Nothobranchius furzeri: one gene and its partners. The protein of the gene in region 1 purifies or fractionates together with the protein of each later gene. This does not show direct contact. Links are inferred from orthologs where the notes say so. Each region holds a gene or a part of one and is shown in the gene's direction. Other genes may lie near its edges.

What was found.
Region 2: the proteins of mybbp1a (region 1) and sirt7 purify together in Homo sapiens (affinity purification with western blotting; 3 studies listed by BioGRID, with this or other methods). This does not show direct contact. The link is inferred for Nothobranchius furzeri from reciprocal best matches to the Homo sapiens genes MYBBP1A and SIRT7.
Region 3: the proteins of mybbp1a (region 1) and lyar purify together in Homo sapiens (affinity purification with mass spectrometry; 3 studies listed by BioGRID and IntAct, with this or other methods). This does not show direct contact. The link is inferred for Nothobranchius furzeri from reciprocal best matches to the Homo sapiens genes MYBBP1A and LYAR.

The regions. Positions count from the first base shown.
Region 1 is NC_091750.1:52,602,938-52,607,880, reverse strand, and holds the start of mybbp1a (myb-binding protein 1A-like protein), read left to right. Parts: upstream 1-1,748; 5' UTR 1,749-1,824; coding exon 1,825-2,001; intron 2,002-2,590; coding exon 2,591-2,686; intron 2,687-2,798; coding exon 2,799-2,882; intron 2,883-2,967; coding exon 2,968-3,042; intron 3,043-3,129; coding exon 3,130-3,237; intron 3,238-3,323; coding exon 3,324-3,514; intron 3,515-3,596; coding exon 3,597-3,764; intron 3,765-3,925; coding exon 3,926-4,043; intron 4,044-4,142; coding exon 4,143-4,432; intron 4,433-4,498; coding exon 4,499-4,609; intron 4,610-4,689; coding exon 4,690-4,815; intron 4,816-4,920; coding exon 4,921-4,943. Other genes in the region: tbl2 (transducin beta-like protein 2), read left to right, coding at 1-140, 499-958. UniProt on the Homo sapiens protein: May activate or repress transcription via interactions with sequence specific DNA-binding proteins. Repression may be mediated at least in part by histone deacetylase activity (HDAC activity).
Region 2 is NC_091746.1:22,678,826-22,683,892, reverse strand, and holds the start of sirt7 (NAD-dependent protein deacetylase sirtuin-7), read left to right. Parts: upstream 1-1,967; 5' UTR 1,968-2,080; coding exon 2,081-2,185; intron 2,186-2,530; coding exon 2,531-2,668; intron 2,669-3,517; coding exon 3,518-3,622; intron 3,623-3,696; coding exon 3,697-3,767; intron 3,768-3,840; coding exon 3,841-3,913; intron 3,914-3,997; coding exon 3,998-4,096; intron 4,097-5,067. Other genes in the region: uncharacterized protein cp110, read left to right, coding at 802-884, 1,061-1,220. UniProt on the Homo sapiens protein: NAD-dependent protein-lysine deacylase that can act both as a deacetylase or deacylase (desuccinylase, depropionylase, deglutarylase and dedecanoylase), depending on the context. Specifically mediates deacetylation of histone H3 at 'Lys-18' (H3K18Ac).
Region 3 is NC_091743.1:56,229,037-56,234,033, reverse strand, and holds the start of lyar (cell growth-regulating nucleolar protein), read left to right. Parts: upstream 1-1,835; 5' UTR 1,836-2,150; coding exon 2,151-2,272; intron 2,273-2,355; coding exon 2,356-2,470; intron 2,471-3,908; coding exon 3,909-4,016; intron 4,017-4,997. Other genes in the region: zbtb49 (zinc finger and BTB domain-containing protein 49), read right to left, coding at 1-929, 1,050-1,201. UniProt on the Homo sapiens protein: Plays a role in the maintenance of the appropriate processing of 47S/45S pre-rRNA to 32S/30S pre-rRNAs and their subsequent processing to produce 18S and 28S rRNAs. Also acts at the level of transcription regulation.

The DNA.
Region 1 (4,943 bases):
TGTGGTTTCACTCCTGACGTGAAGGTTTGGGAGGTTTGCTTTGGGAAGGGAGGAGAGTTCAGAGAGGTCGCTCGAGCGTTTGATCTGAAAGGCCATTCTGCAGGAGTTCATGCTTTTGCTTTTTCTAACAACTCTCACAGGTAATAAAAGTGTTTGTTTACAACACAGAGCCACAGAGGAGGCTTGTTGTGCTTTGAATTTAAAAGCGATAAGACAAACAGCTTCCAATACCAAAGATGATCTGGGGCACGCTGAGTAATTTCCAGCTTCATTGTGCAAACAGAACTAATGATTCAACACCAAGGGTGTCATCTGATGAGGACACAGTGGGTGTTAAATCGTTAGTTCTGTTTGCACAATGAAGCTTGAAATTCATCAGTGAGATCCAGTTCCTATGTTTGATATCTGAAGCAATCACTCTGCTAAATGGAAAAAACACACAGATTATCTACGACACTTTAATATAACTGATTTGTTTTTCTTTCTTTTATCGATCAGGATGGTCACCGTCTCTAAAGATGGAACGTGGAAGCTGTGGAACACAGATGTAGAGTACAAAAAGCAGCAGGATCCTTACCTCCTGAAGACGGTCCCTTGCTCCTCCTCCGAAGGCAGCAGAGTGGCTTTGTCCCCTGATGGCCGTGTTGTGGCCATCAGCAATGGTTGTAACATAGCGATGTACGATGCTGCCACTGGGAATCTGGAGAAGGAACTGCACGGTGTCCACAGTGAAAACATCTCCGACCTCAGGTTTGACATTAACAGCCGCTTCTTGGTGTGCAGCGGCGACAAGGCTATCAGAGTGTTTCATAATGCGCCAGGCTACCAGGCTGCTATCAAAGACATGCAGGACATGCTGAAAAAAGCCCAGAACGAGGCTATGAAGCAGAGACTGCAGCAGCAGATAAAAGATGCTCAGAGCGCTCTGGACACTGTGCTCACTGCTCGGATCGAGTGAAAGAATGCACAAAGAGCCACCATGTGATTGTGATGTGTCATGTTTTTGTCAACATCCAGTTTCCCTTTTCTGCTCATTAATTTGTGCAGGAAGCAACGGGTTATGCATGCAGTTTTAATAAAGAATACATTTTTATGCAAAGATGAAATGTGTTGTGGATGTGTGTGGTTTGATTTAAAGTTAGGAAACCAAAAACACGGTAATGAAGATGGTCTACAATACCAAAGTGAACGCTCTTGTCACAGCATCATATCACAAAACGAGTAAATGCTTAAAGAGAAAGAATTTACTTACTGAATAATTAAATAAAAAGTGATTTAAAAGTAGCATGGGTTAATTGTCACTAAATTCATATTAAAGTCTGGATTTAGTTTTTGCCAATTGAATAAGAAACATTAGTTATAGTACCTCTCAAGATAAAATTCAGGAGGCGCTTATTGAGGTCTTTGTTAGAAAAACAAGATTAAACCCTGAGAATGCTCTTTCCTAAATAAGCTTCAGTAGCTTTCACTTAGATTTTAACTGAAAAAAAAAGATACAGTCAGAAAAACCCTCAACATCAAGAAGTTTCCATGGATATGGATCTGGCCCTGGTTTAGACTGTTCCACCTTCCCACAAAAAACGCTGATGATCAAAACAAAGTTTATTGAAAGAACAAAAAAATGGGGGTTTACATCATGTTGTCACCGGCGCACGTGGAGGTGCAACTACTGGGCAGCATTCTTTAACGATGAAATCCGAGTCTTGCGCCGGCCTATCGCTAAAGAGCAACCCTCATCTGAATTGACCCGGAAGTGGTTTGTGTCTGTGGAAACACGTTTTCCTCCCGTAGCAGCATGTTGATCAGAGGTGGTTCTGAGAGCAGATGTCTGTAGAGATGGTGGAACTGTTGGTGAAGGCAGCGGAGCCGCTGCGACCGGCCGGGGTTTTACAGCAGAACCGGGTCTTCCTCGACTTCTTCTGGGATTTAGCTAAACCGGATCAGGAGGTCCGACTGAAGGCCGTGGAGAACCTGATCCAGTACCTGAAAACAGAAAACAAGGTGAGAAACTGCCTGGACACGATCCAGACTCAGATGCATTATGTCCTCTGAAGTTAAAGTTTTAGTAAATCAGAATAAAAGTTTTTAGATTCAAATGATTATATCACTGACTAAATTGTCAATTTCTTAATAAAATCGCCTACGTTTTGGTTTAAAAAACTTTTTCTTCATAATTGGACAATAACTCAAAGAAAATCAAGTTTTAACGGACTAAATTAGTTTCTGTTAAAAACAATTTCACTAGTGTTTAACAATCAGCTAAAAGTTCACAACAAAGTAGAAGGCGTTAATTAAATATAAAAATAAAGTATAAAGCAAAGTGCAAGTTTAATACCGGTATATCAAAACAAAAATAAAATGTTCATCAAGTCATTTATACTCAAAGATAAAGACATGAGTTTTAAATGGCCTGTATTTGTATAGCGCCCCCAAGACGCTTCACAGCACAATCACACATTTACACACTGGTAGGGATGAGCTACCATGTAGCCACAGCTGGCCTGGGGCTCTTCTGAGAGTAGTGATGTCTAAATGTTCCCAGTCTCAGTGGTGTGTAGAAAGTTTTACGGATGTTGTTTCTGTCCTGCAGGCCGATGAACTGGATTACACGTTTAAACGTCTGGTGGACGGACTGTCCCACACCCGGGAGACAGCCAGGCCTGGGTTCAGCCTGGCTCTGGGACAGGTGAGGGCACCGCCAGCCCGCTTGATTGGTCGATTCAACTTTAAAGTTCACCAGTTTGTAGAAATCAAAAAACTTCAATGTTTCAAATTAAGCGATAAGTTTCCTCTTTCAGGTCTTGAGTGCCTTTAAGGACGTCTCCCTGCAGAGTATACTGAACAGAATCAAAGAGAAACACAACATACAGGCTGTGAAGAAGGTGAGTTTAGATGCTCAGGACTCCTTTGGCATCAGGAACTTCACTAACGGGCGTTTCCACTCACCAAAATCACGTTGTTTCATAGAAACTTGCCAGAAATGCGATGTTCGGAAACTTGTTTGGCGTCCTCGCTCTTCATCAGTCTGGACGTCTCGCTGAAGTGAGTTGGGAGTTTTTTTTTTTTTTGTTTTTTAAGGTTAACATTCTAAAGAGTCAAAAACACTTATAGCAGCTCTGATCTCTGCAGGAGCCACAGGTGGTGTTGGGATGTGTGACGCTCCTCCAGAGTCTGACTCAGCACAAGCAGCACCTGAAGGACCTGCCCAGTAAAACCATGGTGGACATCCTCACTGAGGTGACCGCTGCGTCCTGGTTGCAGCTTTCCACTTTGTATCAGTTTAACCTCAAAACGCACTCACATGCTGCCCTCTTGGCCTTCAGATCCCAGAGGAGGTGTTCGAGGAGGTCCTGCTGGGCGCCCTGCAGACTGACCTGGCGTCAGCCTTCAACACTCCCGAGCAGCTGCAGCTGCTGTTGGTGGCGCTGCAGCGCTTCCCTCAAACTCTCAAGCCGAAGAAACTCAAGAAGCTGCTGGGCTCCTCCACCATCATTAACGCTGACAACATTCCAAAGTGAGAATTCGGGAATCAGGTCTCAAAATACGCATTCAACCGTCTCCTCCTGCTTATTATCATTAAAAACCTTATCTGTCAGATTGATAGAGGTGTTAAAGATGGCAGCTCACTCTGTGAAGAAGGAGTTAACTCTACCAGCCGTTGCTCTGGACCTCCTGAAGCTCTCTCTGAAGGAGGACAGCTTCCAGCTCTTCTGGAACAAAGCCATCACAGAGGGAATGTTCAGGGAGCCGTTCGGAGTGACTCAGTGAGTTTATTACGAGGATGTGAATGAATCGGACCCAAAACGTGGAAACAAAGCTCTAAAATGTGAAAAGTGTAGTTTTTATTTTCTTGTATGACTTTGTTCTTCCCTGCAAGTGAATTTTTATTCTAACATCCAGCCTTCCCATTGTTGATTCTGTTCAGTTATCTGAGCTTCCGCCTGCTGGGAAGCGCCCTCCCTCTGCTGTCGTTGTCCCAGCTGAAGACGGTCTTATCTGGAGAAGTGATGATGCACTACGGAGAACACGTTCTTGCATCTCAGGTTAGTTCCAGGGTGAATTTTAGATTTCACTCGAATCAGAGGAATAACAAGTGAGGTCTTGGTGAGCTGTAGATCTGGATGGCTGTTTTTCTTTTCCAGAAACCGGGCCGCTTCAAGCTGGCCCCGGAGATGGACACCTACGTGTTGGACTTCCTGCAGGCCTGTCAGGACTCAGACAAGCAGCTGGCGGTCATGGTGGGCTTCTCCTCGCTGACCCACTTGGGTTTGCCTGTGGTGTTGCCAGTGTGGAAGGTGGTGCAGCATCTTCAGCCTGCAGCCTTGCAGAGCTACGTGGAGTGGCTTAAAGGAATGTTTCTTCAGCCTCGGATGGAAGAGCTGCTGGACTTCAGCACCCGCAAGCAGAAGGGCAAGCAGGAGGGTGGAGAGCAGTGAGTTTATACGCCCGCTTCTTTAGCTGACTGAAAAAACACCTTTTAACTCTAATGCTCCTTCAGGAAGGACAGCGCCGTTTTCCACCTGAGGAGGTGGATTGTTTCTCGACTTGCCTCCATCATCGACAACAGTCAGGTGAAGAAGCAGGAGGATCTCATCATGGACGTGGCCAGGTGAGCTTCCTGGTGAGCAGCTTCAGGGTTTCTGTGGGAGTCGAGGAGAAAACCATGATTCTGACTTGCTCCTTTTCCAGGTTTGTCTTTTTCCACGCCTTCTTCGGCACCCAGAAGGCCTCCTCTGACATCGCAGAGACTAGTTCAAAGCCTTCCATCCCGCTTGACGAGAAAACCAGAGGAGTGCTCGTCAGTTCTTTTTTTGGGTGAGAAGAAGTCTAATTTCCTTAAGTATTACCAACTTTATTAAAGAAGTCAGACTTTGCCTCTGCAGCTTCAGTTAAGTCCCGTCCCATCTGTCTTCCATCCAGACTCCTCATGTCGCTGCACCACA
Region 2 (5,067 bases), on another chromosome or scaffold:
CCTGTGCATATGGAACAAAAAACGCCTTTTGTTGATCGATTTATTGTGAAAAACGGAAGTTGTGCTTGCTCCTTTTCCTGTTGGGCGGTTGTGATTCCTGTCCATTGACTGCGGAGGTGCTCCGGCGTCCGGCAAAAATAGGATAGATTCTATTTTTGCCGGAACAGAGGGCGGCGCACTGCCGGAGCACGGCCGCAGTACGGCCGCAGTAGTGGAATTGCTCTGATTGACTACAACGGGACCGATTTTGCTCCGGAGTTCGTGCCGGAGCGGAGCGGAGGTAGTGGAATTTGGGGGTTAGAGTCTAAATCTGCCCTCTTCCGCTCCAGCCAACTTCTTCTTCCTGAAACAGGAGCGCCACAGAATCCATTCACATGGCTTTCCTTTATCCTAGAGCCCACTGCAGATGTATTGGGTAAAACAACCTTAAATGTGTTTTAAAGTCAGACATGAGGTTTCTGCTGAACTGAATGTGCTCAGATTGAATCGGCTAACAGGATTATAACCATAACAGCAGTAAATCCTGAGTGAGCATGAATTAAACCAAAGTTTTATCTAAACCTGAATGATTTTCTGTGGTGGGACTTTCAGAGTCATGCATAAAGTAGCGCCTGCAAACCTCAATGAAGCCCAGCAGTGCTAGTAATGGTGCTGAGGCTGGTTAGTGTTTTGGTTATTTTATCTCCTCCATTTAAGACATCTTCAGTGGAGAAGATGGAATTATTTATGCCCACACTCGTGCATGTTAGGGGGTAAACTGATGTATGTTCCTCATGTTTGTGTGTTTTGTGCACATTTTAGAAAGAACATGCAGGTTTCCCCAGAAGAACGGGTTTTCTGTCAGCAGCAACACAAAAATCACTGGAGAGGAAGAGAGAAACCATGTGAGTGTGTAGCTGGTAAAAGTTCACGTCTGTCTCCATCACATCTGCAGAAGATCTGTTGAAGTCTTAACACATTTTAATGCTGTTCATGGAAAACTTCTTAATACTCCACAGGTTAGCAGAAGCTACAGAAAATGTCTCCGTCAGCTACTAAAAACGTCTTCTCTTCCCTCCAGGATACAGAAAAGGGCTTTGGAACGGCACAGGGGAGACACGACAAAGACTGGACAGAAGTCTACATTCACAGTCGAGAGACCTCAGGAGACGAAACGAGGACAGTTCAAAGCAAATCCTCAGAGACTCCCCACGAGCGCCTACTCCTCGAGACCTCGATGACACTTCCCTAATTGGCCCCAGTGAGAACTCTAACAAGGCCTCCAGTGAACTACATGAAGAGTGTGTAACAGATGTTTAAAATCTTACATTCAAATGGATTCTGCGTTTTCAGGAGCTAGTCTTAGTCTTTTTTTATAATAAAAAATGCTTCAAGTTCCTTTTATTCATCTTGTTCGTGTTTAGAAGATGCTGAGAAAACAGAAGCGGATCTGACGTGGTGACGACATCAATAGAGACAGTTTAGCCACGGCAGAATGAAAACTAATGTAGGAGAGCAAATTAGACCCATTTCAGAGAACCACTTCCTGTGCAGTCTGGCTCACCTTTGTAGCTCATTGGGATGCCTGATCCTAAATTAGCTTCAGCTGAATCCACATATTTGTAAGGGGACCCTGGACTCACTTGGACCTGTGAGAAGAGATAGTTGAGCGTTTTTGTCCCCTTTTATGTGCCTTCAGCCAAAATTAGACAATCTTTTAAACATATTAGCACATTTTGACCCTTAATTTTGATAATGATGTGCTTTTGTAACACATCAGCATGTTACTGCAGTGGTCTGCCCGGTGCATCCTTAAAAGATTTGTACTGGTTTGGAATATTAGCCTAATTGTGTTTACACCTTTATACTTAGTTCTTGCTTTTGGATATTTGATAATGTTGGTATATTATGTTTTTGTTTGTTTTTCACAATAAAAGTTTCTCCGGGTTGATTTTGTGGAGAAAGACGCGCATGCGCCCTCCGGGCGGCAGGGGGCGCTGCTCGCTGCCTCATCATCGCTCGGCTAATATCCGCTCAGCTCGCGCTGAGGAGATGAGATGAGCTTTGTTTGTTGTTGTAGCTCTTCGGGTGTCAGAGCAGAATGGAAGGAAATGCAGAAACTGGTAATTCTTCTCGAGCCAGAAGGAAAGCTTTGGACAAGGCTAAAATACTTCAAAGAGAACGGGAGAGGAAGATTTTCAGACTGGTGAGATGAGAGAAGGGTAACAATAAAAGATGGCAGCGCTAGCAAGCTACATTAGCAGTAAACCAGCGGTTTCCCGAAGTTCTGCAGACATGCTGATGCATCCCACCCACTAAACTACAAATGTTCACGTGTCAGAATCCAACAGTTAGGCTGTAAACGTCATTAACATCTGACCAGTGTCACAACGTGTGGTATTTCCCATGTTTCTGCTGCTATAATGGAAAACAAGTCGTTATTTTATCTTAATGCTTGGACCCAAAACTCCTCCACAGTCTGGGGAAGGAAAAAGTGGTAGTGAGCACATCTCTACGTAGCACCGGTAAACCTGCCCGGTTCTCGCTGCAGGTCGGACAGGTGCTGAAGAAGCCGGAAACGGAACGGTCTAAGGAAGAAGTCGCTGCGCTTGTCCTGCACAGAGAAACCGTGGATGAGGTGTGCAAGAGACAAATCCGCAGGAGTGTCCTCAAGAGGAAGCAGGAGGAGGTGAGACTCAAGGTTAACGTCGTTAGGGACAGGTGAGCCCACACCTGTAGCAAATCATTCAAGTGCAACAAATGATCCTAAAGTTCAAAAACTGCTATTTTTATGAGTTTATTTTAACTATAGTTATATTTTAATTATCATACCACACAATGTGTCTGGTTTAGTGAAAAAGTTTGATCAAATGTGTTTTTAGTTGCTGCTCAGTGTCGCAGTGGTTAGCGCTGTTGCCTTGCAGCTAGAAGGTCTTGGGTTAAAATCCCAGCCTGGGGTTTGCATGTTCTCCCCAGGTACTCCGGCTTCCTCCCACAGTCCAAAGCATGGCTGTCAGGTTGACTGGTCTGTCTAAATGGTCCTTAGGTGTGTGTGTGTGCTCGGTTGTTTGTCCAAAGGGTTCAAATGAAGTCAGCTGGACTTCTTTGGTTTCTTGAAGACGTTTAACTTGTCATCCGAGGAGCTCTGTCAATTCTGACTGGAACGTGGGAGAGTCAAGCTCATAAGCTGTAGCCGTCTGTTGTTATTTAATGAGCAGAAACTACTCTGAATATCCCGCGTCTCCATCCCCTGATGAGTCGTTGGCCTCTATTGAGAGGGAGTGGTTGTAGTAGAGGCTAACGACTCATCAGGGGATGGAGAGGGAAGTCTGGGCGTCTCTGCTTAGGCTGCTGCCCCCGGGGACCCTGGATAAGCGGCTGAAGATGGACGGACAAAAGAAAAAATCAGGATTTATTTTCACAATAAATTCAAGATATCATGTTTAACCAGAATTACACATTTATCATTAAACGCGCGATGTTTGACTCTGATTACCTGCTTGTTTATTCTCAGGCTCTGTTCTTGTGCTGTTTTCAGGTGTTTGATGATGCTGATGAGTTGAAACTCAAAGTCAAACAACTGGCTGAGGCGGTCAGGGAAGCTCATCACCTGGTGGTTTACACTGGAGCTGGTATCAGCACGGTATTCCAAACCTCCCCTATTTGTTGCTCTTGTGATTTAGAAACCTTCAATGTACCAGTAGTTTCTCGTTTTAGGCTGCTTCTATCCCAGACTACAGGGGCCCTAACGGGGTGTGGACGCAGCTGCAGAAGGGAAAGGCAATAAGGTGAGAGGCACATCTTTATCAAAAAGCTGGTCATAGTCTGGGTTTCAAATTTCTGTCGTTTCTTCTGTCCCAGTTCGTCAGACTTGAGTAAAGCTGCACCGACGCTCACTCACATGTGCATTAGGATGCTCCACAAGGAGAAGCTGGTATGTGAGACAAGTTTGGATGGTTTAGAAAGGTTGGACCTCATTTCTAAAGCTACATTTAATTCTGTCTGTTTTTCAATCAAGGTGAAGCATGTTGTGTCACAGAACTGTGATGGACTTCACCTGCGAAGCGGTCTTCCCCGACACGCCCTCTCTGAGCTTCATGGGAACATGTACATTGAAGTAAAGCCTGATTTTTTACTTCTCCGTCTGCGTCGGCACAAGGGCTCTGACAGGGTTCACAGGGGGTGATGGTGACATGCCCAAAATTTTAAACATCCGTAGAAAGTGATGGAGAACGCAAGCTTGTGATTGGTCAGGACGCCGCTTTCTGTAGATTCGTCACCAGCTCCGCCGTTGCCCTGTTAAAGAGTAAAGCGATATTTAGCTGCAGACCCAGAACAGATTGAAGATTGCATCGTGGAAAAAGTCAGAAAATATCAACGTTTATTCACCCGTGACTGAAGGAGTACAAAATACGGAACAAACGTGGACGAGAGCGACAGGAAGCGTGGGTTTAGAGGTGGCGAGGGCATGAAGAGCTGGAGGAGAATGGACAAAATTGTCCGTGTTATAAAGTCTCTGAAACACATGAAGACGTTAGTAAACACGTGTACCGGATACAGGAGTTTTATGGTGGCAGGGTACCGCAGAAAAGAGCTACGCCCTCTGCTGTGCTGGCGGGGAATTGCTTATCGATGCTCCGCTGCCTGAACAGAGGGTCGCATATGAAAACCTTTCAAACTTCATGTCAGGAATCTTGGCGTGACCTTTGACCCAGCTCTCACCCTGGATTCTCATGTCAGTTCTCTTGTTCGCTCTTCCTTCTTCCATCTCAGGAACGTTGCTAAGCTGAGTCCCATTCTGTCTCGCTCTGAACTTGAGACAGTTCTCCACACCTTCATCTCCTCACGCTTAGACTACTGTAACTTTCTTTTCACGTGTCTGAGCAGAACCTCCCTGAACCGTCTACAGGTGGTTCAGAACGCCTGTGCTCGGCTTCTGACCAAGTCCTCCAAACACACCCACATCACCCCGCTTCTCCTCCAGCTTCACTGGCTGCCAGTCAACTTCAGGGTTCATTTCAAGATCCTGGTTCTGGTCTATAGGGCCTTACATGGACAAGCACCATCTTACATTGGTGATCTTCTTAG
Region 3 (4,997 bases), on another chromosome or scaffold:
CTCTATCTGCAGGGCTGCATTCTACTGGAGGTGCTGGGACTTCACTCCGAGTGATGTTTTCTTCTGAATGGATCTCTTTGGGACAAATGTGGATGGGCTCGATGGCCGCCTCAGTGCACATCTCCTCCAGAGCCTTCTGAGACCGGAGGTAGTTATATTTCTTCAAGTACACTGTCTTCTTGGGACGAACGGTCTTGTTGATCATGGAGTCAGTTGGATCAGAGTTGGAGGTGTTGAGATTATCTGATGGAGTCAAAGACGAGACTGTGCTCTTTTCAGCTGGCACAGATGTACAAGAAAGGTTAGGTTGAGGCACGTTTCCAGAGGTTACAGGAGTGTTGTTTCGACTCTGGCTCATTCCAAGCTGCTCTTCTGATAACACTAAAGGACCTGGGCCCTGGTTTGAAGCTGCACTACTGGTTTGCAGAGCACTTTGTTTGAAGTACTGCTTACTGTAAAAATTACGGAGCTTATATCCATGAACCAGCTGTTTTTCTACAGGTGCATGAGAGCTGCTAGGTATGTCACCATTTGTGCTGTTGCTAGGCAGAGAAACTGGTATCCTTCTTGTGTGGTCCAGGTCACTGTAAAAATTTGGCCTCTGGGATTCAGAGGTACAGTGAAGGTCAACATCATGTGGAAGACCACTGCCCAGAAGACAGTCATGCTCTGAGCTCAGCATGCCTGGGAGGGAAAAGGAAGACAACTCTGCGGGTGGGGGGCAAGGCTTGAGGAAGGCGTTACACATGGTCTGCACATTTGGAACCTGCAAGCTCTGGGCAATGTCCAGAAGCGCTTGTACGTTTTCTTGGTTAACGTCGAGATGGGAGGTATACATGTAATCCAATATTTGACCAATGCCACTGACATCCTGGATAACCAGGTTGAAAACGTCGCTCTTCTGACTTGGAGAGTTTTGGAACAAAGACCTGGAGAAATCCAATTATAAAACAACTCAATCATCTATAGAATCGCAACATGATTAATAGAGAAAGCTAAAAAATACAAAAACATGTGGATTTTTATTCATTAAATTGACTTTAGGGCACCTGAAATAGGAACTGAAAGCAGCCAGGACATTTTTGTGGGCTTTGAAGCAAACACCTTTAACCACCAACATGCAGTCACAAAGAAGTCCCTGAATTCTTTGTTCCTGGAGCTGCTGGAGAAGGTATGAGCTGTGGCTGGACAGGGAGTCCATGGTCACTCAGCTATTGGACCTCTCTCAACTTCAACCTTACATCAGGGGAAAAAGAAGAAGAAAACAGCTTATCTGTAGCTAATGGGTAACAAACAGCTAAACTGGGTTACAAATGCATTCTTCAGCTGATTCTGGATAAACTTTTGAACTTCATATTTTCATCTATTTTGTTCTGTAAACAGCAGATTTCCGCTGGGCCGAGTTACGAGACCAGCCATGCAAAAATAACAAAATGTCTGCACCAAGCGATCGCAGCAGTGCGTAGGAAAATTGGCTGAACGCGAAATTTCTTTAAAAAATAATGTTTTGAAAAGTAAATAAATTAGATTAACTGCCAACAATCAACTTTAGAAATAAACAAAGCCAACAACTCCCTTAATACATTCCTACCTTTCATTGGGATGATGGGTCACTAGACTGTGGTGACTTACGTCACTTCCTGGTACAGCGCCTATTTCGAAACATGAACACAGATAAATAAATATATATTCTGTTTTAATAAAAGGAATTACATGCTTGTAATTTTATTGGTTAAGGTAATCAAACATTTTTGGCATAATGTTTCCTCTCCCAATCTTTTAACGTTATTTTAATAATTGTAGGAACGTTTCTTTGGGAGCATTTTCCTCACGGAAGGCTAATAATGTAGGATTGAATTGCGTGAAGTATACACGTAGGGAATCAGTAAATGTGCTTCTAGGTGTTTTTTTTGAATCCGATAACTTTTATAAAAGCAACGTATGTTGTTCATCCGCTTGAAAATATTAATTGGCAAATATTATTTTCTACTTTTGTTAGTAGGTTTATTTTTTGTTGTCCACATTTGACCGTTAGCGCGTGCCAAGTCTAGTACTGGGGGATTGTTCCACATTGAGCATCAAACGTTGTTTTAACTTGCTTTAAGAAGCTAAAGGCACCGAGACACAGAAGTCACTGAATTGCTTTTAAAATGGTGTTTTTTACTTGCAACGCGTGTGGTGAATCGTTAAAAAAAGCTCAGGTTGAGAAACACGTGAATATGTGTCGTGGTTGCCAAGTGCTGTCCTGTATCGACTGTGGAAAAGACTTCTGGTAATGGCTGGCCGAGTGTTTACAATCCATAGATTTCTGTTCACAGACTTTTCTTAGTGTAAACTCTTCCATGCTTTCTACAGGGGTGATGACTACAAAGATCACAACAAATGTATAAGTGAAAATCAGAAGTATGGAGGGAAAGGCTACGAGGCTAAGGCAAACAAAGGAGATGTGAAACAACAGCAGTGGATTCAGGTAAACTTCTCTCACCGAACGGTGGTTCCTCCATCCATCCATCCATTTTCAGCCACTTATCTGGAGTTGAGTCGCAGGGGCAGCAGCTTAAGCCGAAAGGCCCAGATTTCCCCCTCTCTGGCCACTTGGGTCAGCTTCTCTGAGGGAACCCCAAGGCCTTCCCTTAGGTCTCCTCCCAGTTGGACGTGCCTCATCAACCTCATCAAGGAGGCGTCCAGGAGCTATCCTGACCAGATGCCCGAGCCACCTCAACTGGCTCTTCTCGAAGTGGAGGAGTAGCGGGTCTACTCCGAGCCCCTCCCGGATGACTGGGCTTCTTATCCTATCTCTAAGGGAGAGCCCAGCCATCCTGCAGAGAAAACTAATTTGGCCGCTTGTATCGCCGATCTCGTTCTTTCGATCACTACCCAAAACTCGTAACCATAGGTGAGGGCAGGAACGTAGATCGACCGGTAAATCGAGAGCTTTGCCTTCAGGCTCAGCTCTCTCTTCACCACGACAGATCAGTACAACGCCCGCATCACTGCAGATGCAGCAACAATTCCCCTATTGATCCCACGCTCCATCTTTCCCTCACTCGTGAACAAGTCCCTGTGATACTTAAACTCCTCCACTGGAGGCAGGACCTCATCCCTGACTCAGAGAAGGCATTCTACCTTTTTCCGATTCAAGACCATGGTCTCGGGTTTAGAGAAGCTGCTTTGCACTCTGCCGTGAAACGCTCCAGAAGAAGTTGGAGATTACATTTTGATGAAGCCAACAGGACCACATCATCTGCAAAAAGCAGAGACCTGATCCTCAGGCCACCAAAACAGATCTCCTCAACAACTTGGCTGTGCCTAGAAATCCTGTCCATAAAAGTTGTGAACAGAATCTGTGACAAAGGACAGCCAGGGCGAAAACTACATTGTTCATCCTGAATCTGGCCTTCGACAGTCCAACAGACCCACCTTTACAGAACCCCTGAATAGACCTTTCTAAGGAGTGTGATCTCCCTGTAGTTGAAACACACATTGCAGTCCCCCTTTGTAATTAGGGGGACCACCACTTCAGTCTGCCAATCCAGTGGAACTACCCCTGATGTCCACGCGATACTGCAGAGCCGCATCAACCAACACAGCCCCACAACATCCAGAGTCTTAGGGAACTCTGGGCTCATCCACCTCCAGAGCCATGCCACCGTGGAGTTTTTTTTTTGGTGACCTCAGTCCCAGAGATTGGAGAGTCCATTCCAAAGTCCACAGACTCTGCTTCCTCCCTGGAAGACGTGCCAGTAGGATTGAGGAAGTGTTCCACCCATCGATTCACAACGTCCCGAGCTGCTTGCCCCTCCTGAGATGCCGGATGGTGGACCAGAATCTCCTTGAAACCATACGGTGGTTTGTTGTTGACTGAAATATTTTGTTAAAATTCAGACTTTATGTATCTTTTTTTTCAGAGAGTACATGAAGCCATGAGCAAACCGGGTATCAGTGCCAAGCTGAAAGATGTGCTTAGACAAGTCAGTACGTATGATAACGTTCCAAGAAAGAAAGCGAAGTTTCAGGTTGGTACAACTGTGAACAGTAACAGTTATTTTCATTTGACGGTCATACACAACTGGATCTCCTTTCAGGTTGAAGGCATTAAGATACAATGATAACATTGAGCAACAATACCCTAAATTCATGATGCTGTTCCCACTAGAAACAGTGAAAGACACTGTTAAAAAGCAAATATACTATTCAAAAAATTAGGTAAAATCTAATAAATGACTAAATAAGGCATCTCATTCTCTATAATACAATCTTTAAAAGTGCAGTCTCTAAATTATAACATAACTAAATAACTATTCACTTAGTACTTCATGGGGCAGCAGCCTAAGCAGAGAGGCCCAGACTTCCCTCTCCCCAGCCACTTGGGCCAGCTCCTCCGGGAGAATCCTTAGGTGTTCGCTGGCCAGCCGAGAGACATAGTCCCTCTGGCTTTGGGTCTCCTCCCGGTGTCCAGAAAAACCTCACCAGGAGGTGTCCTAACCAGATCCCCGAGCCTCCTCGACTGGCTGACAATATTAATCCTGTTTCCTCTTTAATTCTAGTGCATAATAATAATAATAATTCATTGAACTTATATAGCGCTTTTCTAGACACCCAAAGGCGCTTTCACACACTCTCACATTCACACACTGCTAGTGATGGTAAGCTACTTGTAGCCACAGCCGCCCTGGGGAGGTCTGACAGAGGCGAGGCTGCCATTTGGCGCCGTCGGCCCCTCTGACCACCACTAACACAGGCAAGTTGGGTGAAGTGTCTTGCCCAAGGACACAACAGCAGGATACCCCTGGCGGGAGCTGGAATCGAACCCATGACCCTCCGATCATGAGGCAGCCCGCTCTACCACCTGAGCTACTGCTGCCCCATGGCATAAGTGTCTGACTGGTTTTTGTAAAGACATTTTGTTTGTTCTTTATGTGCAAAAGTCCATAATAAGGACGCTTTCATTTTGAACACCTGTAAACAATAATGATATAATTCTATAAAGGCCTAAA